Cricetulus griseus: one gene and its partner. The protein of the gene in region 2 interacts with the protein of the main gene of each other region in a pairwise test. Links are inferred from orthologs where the notes say so. Each region holds a gene or a part of one and is shown on either strand. Other genes may lie near its edges.

The links. The genes of interacting proteins can lie anywhere in the genome.
Region 1: the proteins of Zbtb43 (region 2) and 26S proteasome non-ATPase regulatory subunit 3 interact in binary tests that used the Homo sapiens proteins (3 or more experiments, as listed by UniProt). The two-hybrid records come from large-scale screens. The link is inferred for Cricetulus griseus from reciprocal best matches to the Homo sapiens genes ZBTB43 and PSMD3.

Annotation. Positions count from the first base shown.
Region 1 is NC_048600.1:111,764,298-111,768,046, forward strand, and holds the start of 26S proteasome non-ATPase regulatory subunit 3, read left to right. Parts: upstream 1-1,041; 5' UTR 1,042-1,212; coding exon 1,213-1,423; intron 1,424-3,749.
Region 2 is NC_048599.1:145,183,902-145,187,611, forward strand, and holds the start of Zbtb43 (zinc finger and BTB domain-containing protein 43), read right to left. Parts: upstream 2,898-3,710; 5' UTR 2,758-2,897; intron 1-2,757. UniProt on the Homo sapiens protein: May be involved in transcriptional regulation.

The sequences.
Region 1 (3,749 bases), on a different chromosome or scaffold from region 2:
ATTATTATTATTATTATTATTATTATTATTATTATTAGAGACGGTTTTTTTTATGTAGGTCTGGCTGTCCTGGCTGGCCTCAAAGTCAGAGACCAGTCTACCTAGTGCTGAGATTAAAGGAGTTCACCAACACATCTGGCCCTACATTACATTCTTTTTGTTTCTTTGTGTTTCGAGACAGGTTTCTCTGTGTGGCTTTGGAGCCTATCCTGGCACTCACTCTGGAGACCAGGCTGGCTTCGAACTCACCGAGTTCCTCCTGCCTCTGCCTCCCGAGTGCTGGGATAATAGACGTGAGCAGGGTTTTGCAATGATCCTGTACGCACTGGCCCTGAGCCATATACAACTATTAAACTTGACTAGTTCTACACAAATACCCCCTACCCCAACACACTCCCAGGCTGCAGAGGTGATTGCCTCATATTCAGCACTATACAAAAACTTGACAAGAACCGGGCCGTAGTGATGCACTCGGGAGGTAGAGGCAGGAGGATCTCTGTGAGTTCGAGGCCAGCCTGGTCTACAGAGCGAGTTCCAGGACAGCCTCCAAAGTTACAGAGAAACCCTGTCTCGAAAAACAAAACAAAATCTGACAAGGAAGTTCGGATGCCACAGGGGTTGAGCTCAGTTCAACCTAACAGCCTAGCTACAAGTACACAGGTTCCTTTTCTTCCCGGTGATGGAAGCACCCGGCGGGCGTTGAGAGCGCGAGCCAGACAGATTTCACGGAGGGCCTGACCTGCACAAACCGGGCGAGCCTGCCAGGCGGGGAAGAGAAAAAAAAAGCCCGGCAACTTGTGATGTCATCTGGATCTGCGCTCGGATAGGCCCTACCCACTTACGCATTGGAGTCTGTAGTAGCCCAGATTGGAGCCTAAGCTGACCTCTCGCGGACATCCAGAGATACGCACTCGAGAGGAAGATAAAATCACCACTCTTAAGCCCTCCTCCCCTTTCCTAGAAGGTCCGCCTTCATCGTGCACCTCGGCTATTGATTTCTTTCCCCTCCCTAGACTCGGCCATCATCTCGCTGGGCCTGGCATTTCCCAGAAGCCCCAGCGCCGGGAAGGAGTTTGCAGCTGCTCGGTCATCGTGCGGCCCGACGCGAGCCCGCGCTGGTGTGCAGGCCCGTCTCTGTGCCTGGTCTCTGGTGTGAGGGTGTAGGCGAGGCCCCTGCCTCGGTCCCCGGACTAGGCCGCGACCCCGGGCGCCATGAAGCAGGAGGGCTCGGCGCGGCGCCGAGGCGCCGACAAGGCAAAGCCGCCGCCGGGAGGGGAACAAGAACCGCCGCCGCCGCCGGCCCCCCAGGATGTGGAGATGAAAGAGGAGGCAGCAGCGGGGAGCGGCTCAACGGGGGAGGCAGACGGCAAGGCAGCCGCCACCGAGCACTCCCAGCGAGAGCTGGACACTGTCACCTTGGAAGGTACGGGAGCCCGCGTCTGGGACATGCCGCGATCACGGGTGACAGCGGCCACGGTGATGCGACTTCTTCCCGGGACCTCCGCGCAGCCTCCACCTACCTCGGTTCCGTGTGTTCGGTCAATGGGGCGGGGGTCGGAAGTGCCCGCCCTGCCGCTCTCGACCCCAGCCGGCGACTGGACCTGTTCTCCAGGCTGCGGATTGCTCTCCTCACACTCCCTCCCTCTTCTCGTCTGGGGTTGCATCTTGGTCCCACCGAGCCTTTTCTTGAGTCCTTCCCAGTGATCTACTCCTTGTACACCCCATCCAACCGATCCTAGCGCCTCCGAAATATTATTGATCCTTAGAAATCAGCGTTTGTATTTGTGTCTAAAGAGGCCGGGGTAACATCACACTGGCCCCTTAGATAAAAGAGTTTCTAAAGGGTTCTGTAGCTCCATCTTCAGCGAACTCCCTAGGAGAACCATTTCTACCCTGCGTTGCTTCCTTACTTCTGTAATTGAAGTAACTAAACCGTCCCGTCGCTCTGTTCCTCCCTCTTGAGGTCCTTTCTCCCTCCGTTCCTAAAGAGTTCAAGCACATACACTTTCACTCCTGAATTTGTCTTTTGGTTGTTGTTTGTTTATAGTGCTTACCTGTGGCCTCGATTCCTATAAGCCACCCCCATCCTCAACTTTTTCCTTCCACATGCCAGTTCTCAGGCTCCTATTATCCTCGTGTCCCTCTTAAGTTGCTGTTTTATTTTTCCCATTTGGTCCATCCTGTCCATGTATGAAGTGGGTGGGGTGAGACTTCTCATTGTGATCCTGTGCGGGTTTCCAAGTACGGGAATTTTTCCCCCTCTCTCTTTGCTTAACTACTTCAAAACATGGAGATGAGCAAGTTATGCCCTGCGAGGTACTTTTGAGGATGTGTGTATGTGTATGGACTGCACCAACTCCTACTCTAAAAGTTGGCAACAGGATCTGTATACAGAAAGGTCTTTTTACCTGAAATAAAAGTAGCCAGGGGCGGAGATGTCACTCAGCATTGCGTGTGTGTGTGTGTGTGTGTGTGTGTGTGTGTGTGTGTGTGTGTGTGTTCGTGAACATTTTATTATGGTTTGTATTCACTGTAGAAATTTTGAGATGTGAGAATTCTAAAGTAATAGGGAGAAAAATATAACCAAAGTTAACATGTTTTCCTGTGTGTTTTCAAGCTGTTCTATAACTGAAATCACTGAAGTACCCAGTTAGGATCAAAGTATTAGTATGTAAAGATTTTTTTTTGTCTTTTTTTTTTTCTTTTAGCATGTCCATGAACACAAAGTTCAATTTATTCAGGAAGCATTTGTTGATTACTCAGTATAGTGATTGAGATTATAGACTCCAGAATCAGTTTCCCTGTTTGTGTAAGTGGGATTAATAGCATTAACTGTTTGTTGAGTTATTGTGAACATTAGAATGCATGTTACTATTTGTAATAATTAGTATCACAAGCACGCTTTGTTGAGTGGGAAATGTGACTAAGAAACTTCCAGTTGATTGCATTCTCTTAATTGCTACATATTTAAAGTTTTTCATGTTCCTTGCTCTTTTAAGTAGTTTTGCAATCATTGTCTCTAATCCTAAGTTTTTTAATCTACTTTTGTAGCTATTTAAATGTAGCTTGGAATTTATATGCCTAAGTCAAAAAGGGTAAACATGTCTAAATTTAAATTTGTGTTTGTATGAGTGTTTTATCTGTGTGTTTGTAACAGTATCACATGTGTGCGTTGTCCACAAAGGCTAGAAGAGGACATCTGACCCCCTGGAACTATAGTTATGGATGGATGTGAGCTGCCATGTGGATGCTGGGAATAGAACCCAGGTCCTTTGGAAGAGCAGCCAGTGTGCTCTTAACACTGAACCATCTCTCCAGCCCCATTTCTAATGCTTTTTATGTTGTCCTGAAAATCTGATTTACATTATAAATGTTTTTTCTCATTACTGTAAATGTTTCTATTTTCAGATATTTAGATATTACCAAAATATAGTCTTTATGTCTTTTATCGGTTTGGCATCCTTTGCTTATGTCCAATGTCCACTTTTGTTTTGAAGTTAGGGCCAGTAGTCTCTGTCTCTCTCTCTTTCTCTCTCCCTCTCTCAGATTTATTTATTTTTATATGCATTGATGCTTTGCCTGCATATATGTCTGTGTAAAGGTGTCCGATCCCCTGGAACTGGAGTTACAGACAGTTGTGAGCTGCCATGTGGGTGCTGGGAAGTGAACCTGGGTCCTCTGGAAGAGCCATCTCTCCAGCCTCCAGTACTTTCTCTTAACCAGTTATATACATTCTTTGTGAAATGAAA
Region 2 (3,710 bases):
CCTCCCAAGAGCTGGGATTAAAGGTGTGTGCCACCACCAGCCTAAAATGATGCTTCTATAGATTCTTTTTTTTTAAAATAATTTATTTAACTTTATTTTATGTGTATTGGTGTGAAGGTGTCAGATCCCCTGAAACTGAAGTAACAGACAGTTGTGAGCTGCCATGTGGGTGCTGGGAATTGAACCCAGGTCCTCTGAAAGAGCAGCCAGTGATCTTAACCACTGAGCCATCTCTCCAGCCCCGTTTCTATAGATTCTTGCCTTCCTGCCTGGTCAACCCCCAGGAATGGCCATCGGGACAGATGCTTATTGATCATCTAACAGTCTTAGTGATAACTGACTGACCACTCATTCATTACCACCAGCAACTACCAACTGTAGAGCCAAAGAGAACCATCTCAATCTCCTTCCCTCTAAAACACATAGGGGCCCTCATTTCGTCACAATCATTCTTCTAGAACATTTATTATCCCAAGGAATAATCTGTCCCAGGGCCCTCCTTGACCTTCAAACCTTTCACAATGGTGTAGAAAGGCGAAGGAGCCACATAAATGGGTTTCTCTCTGGGTTCCCTCCCCCTTGTTACTGCTTTCTCTCCATCTTTTCCACTGAGGAATTTTTCTGATTTTCCAGGCTCAGGTCAGGCTCTACTGCCTTTAAAAAGAAGCTGAGTCTAAGGAGGCTTACTTTCCTCGGTTTACTATTAGTGACATGTGCCACTCTGGAAGGGAGTTCTGCTGGGAAAGAAAACTCAGGCAGCATGTCTAAATCTGTAAGATCTTGAAACCCATTCTGAGGGTTCTGGTGACCTAATTGGTCAGATAAGCAGCCCACACAGGAATCTAATTCTTGGGTGGTGGGAGTAGGAGGATCATCAGTTCAAGGTCATCACACTGGGAGTTTCAGGCTACTCCAGGATTCAGACAGTATATATCTCCCAAGTTTGTTTTGAGATAAGGTTTCTCTGTGTAGCCCTGGCTGTTCTGGAATGCCTGTAGACCAGGCTGGCCTGGGAACTCAGAGATAAAAGGCAACAAAACAAAACAAAGAAAAAATCTAAACAACACAACCCCCCTCCCCCCCAAATAAAACCTTGAAAAATGAATGTAAAGAAGGCAAGATTTATAAAACAGAAAACAGACAAAAAACCAAAGGCATAGTCTGTGAAGAAATAACAAGAGCATTTTCTACTCTAATAAAGGGGAATTTTTCCAGCTTCACAAGTTCTCTGCATGTCAAAGGCAATACATTTCTCAAGTTGCCACTAGGGTAAATTTCTGCATTGATTCCAAAGGGGCAAGGAGGGGAAGACAGGTGGGAAACTGCTGTCATCCGATTTAAAGCCATCAGGGTCCCCTGACTCCTTTTGTAAGCCTTCAACTGAACCTGCTGCTATTAAGAGCTTGCATCAATATAAGGGATTCAACTAAATGTTCCAAACCAAGTTTCTAAAGTGCACTGTGGACGTGCTTATACCAGCTTCGGAAGTCTCCAGAGTTCCTTCTGCTGTGTGTATACAGTATAAACACAGCACAAAACTTACCACTGTAACTACTTAGTGTAATGCTATGTTGACATTACATCATTCACACTGTTGTGCCCAATCCATTTCTAGAATGTTCTTACTGTCTCCTAAACTCTGTGCACATTGAACACAGTATCTGACTCTAGCACCTCATAAATTGTTTTCTGTCCTGTCTATTACTGACACTCGATTCCAAAAGTTTTAAATAGTATTTGTCCCGTGTCTCACTTCTTTCTCACGGTACTTTGGAAACATGCAGGGAACGAATTCCTAAATTCTTCCCTAAGCTGCCCCTAAAAATTCTGCTACAGTGCTAAGGATCTCAAGGGCAGATGTCAACCTGGTCCTTCCTGAGCCTGTAGACATGCTGACCTGGTTAAACAGAGGCAGTGCCTGACAGCCCTGGGGCTCCTGGAAAGAGCAAATAACTGGAGAGCTGTGTAGACCACATGGAAGAGAAGTTCAGGATTCACTAGCTGCCTAAACCGTGAGATGGGCCTTCAGTGTGAGGGCCAGGAGCTCCCAACACTTTGTGAGGTTGGGTGACACCGGTCAGAACCGAGGCCAGACTGCGGTCGGGCCACTGAGAATGTCGCCCAGGCGGGCGAGTTTCACGGGGTCATGAGTCACCTTCCATGGCTCAGAGGTCCAGGCAGGGCCCGCCCTGCCTAAACAAACCCAGTTGGGAGGGAGAGAAACAAGAACACAACATTGGCAGAGGGGGAAAAACACACAAATGGTCAAGAAGCCAGTGTGACATTCGGGCCCCGAACCAGAGCAGAGTCAAGAAACAGAGATTAAAGACAAGGTCCCCAGACTGTGAGCTCCAGGGACACAAGGTGGAGAGAAACTCCAGCTGACCAGAGCCCAGTCTGGGGACAAAAACAAGTGACGACGGGGTGACAAAGAGGCGAAACTCGGAGCGGCGAGGTCCCCCCTCCCGGCTTTGGCTCCCGCGTGGGTGGCTCGACCCTGAGGTCGCGGCGCGGGCGGATCCTCCAGGCGCCCCGGCCCGCCGTGCACCTGCCGCGGGGTGACCTTGGACAGGAAGTCTCCCGGTGGCGCTGGAGGCCTCGGGACTCCGAGCCGGGGCGCCGGGGGCTGCGGAGTCGCTGGCGCCGTCCCGCGTCGCGGCCACCGGGGAGGGCTCTGGATGAGCACCCGCGTCCCGGACGCTCGTGACCCCGACCGTGACCTCTCGCGCGGCCGCCAGCCTCCCCACCCCGCCGTACCTGCCGACGGCTCCGCGCTCGCAGCTTCAGCCTACCGGAGCATCCAGTCGCCCGCACTAAGGCCTTATTCTCCGCCGCCACCACGGGGACAGCTTCCGCCGGAGCCTCCCGCCCCCCCGGAAACGCTTCCCGGTCCCGCCCCCGAAACTGCCAGTGCTTCCGGAGGCGCGTCCGCGACGCTGAGGTGTGCGCATGCTCTAGGAGCCCTTTCTGGGAGGGTCTTCAGGGGGCGGCCGGGGCCTGCGCAATAGGACGTCCCGCTGGTCACGTTTCGGGAGGCAGGCATAAGAGTTAACTGATTTCGAGTTCGAAGCTCTTAGGAACTGCGAGCTAGCTGAGCGGGTAAAGGCGCTTGCCGCCAGGCCTAATGGCCTGGGCTCTATGCTTGGAGCACACACGGTGACAAGTGAGAGCTCACTCCACTCACCCCTACAAAAAATAAAATAAAATAAAAGTTTCAGGTTGGCTTTGAACTCATTATGTAGGTCGAGTTGGCCTCAAATTCACTCCTGCCCACACCTCCTCAGTATTGGGATTGCAAGGCTATGTCCCCATATTCGTGCTGGACTAGACATTCCTGTGTCTTGGGTCCGAATTTAGGGCTTCCCAGCTCTGCATCTATTTCGGCTCTGGGACCTAAGAATATTCAGAAAGAAGGCTGGGACTTTGCGAGAAAATTATACACAGAGATTCTGGGGAGGGCTGGAGAGATGCTCAGCAGTTAAGAGCATGGCTTCTCTTCCTAAGGACCTGGTTTCAGTGTCCAGCGCCCACGCGGTGGCTCTCAGCCTCAGTAACTCCAGTTCCAGGGCATCTTTCGCCCTCTGCTGGCACTGGCACCAGGCAGGCAAACAGTGCACAGACAAGTATGCAGGCAAAACAATAATACAAACAAGACAATTTAAAAAAGAAATTCCGAGAAACAAAACCATAAAACAAAACAAAACAAATTC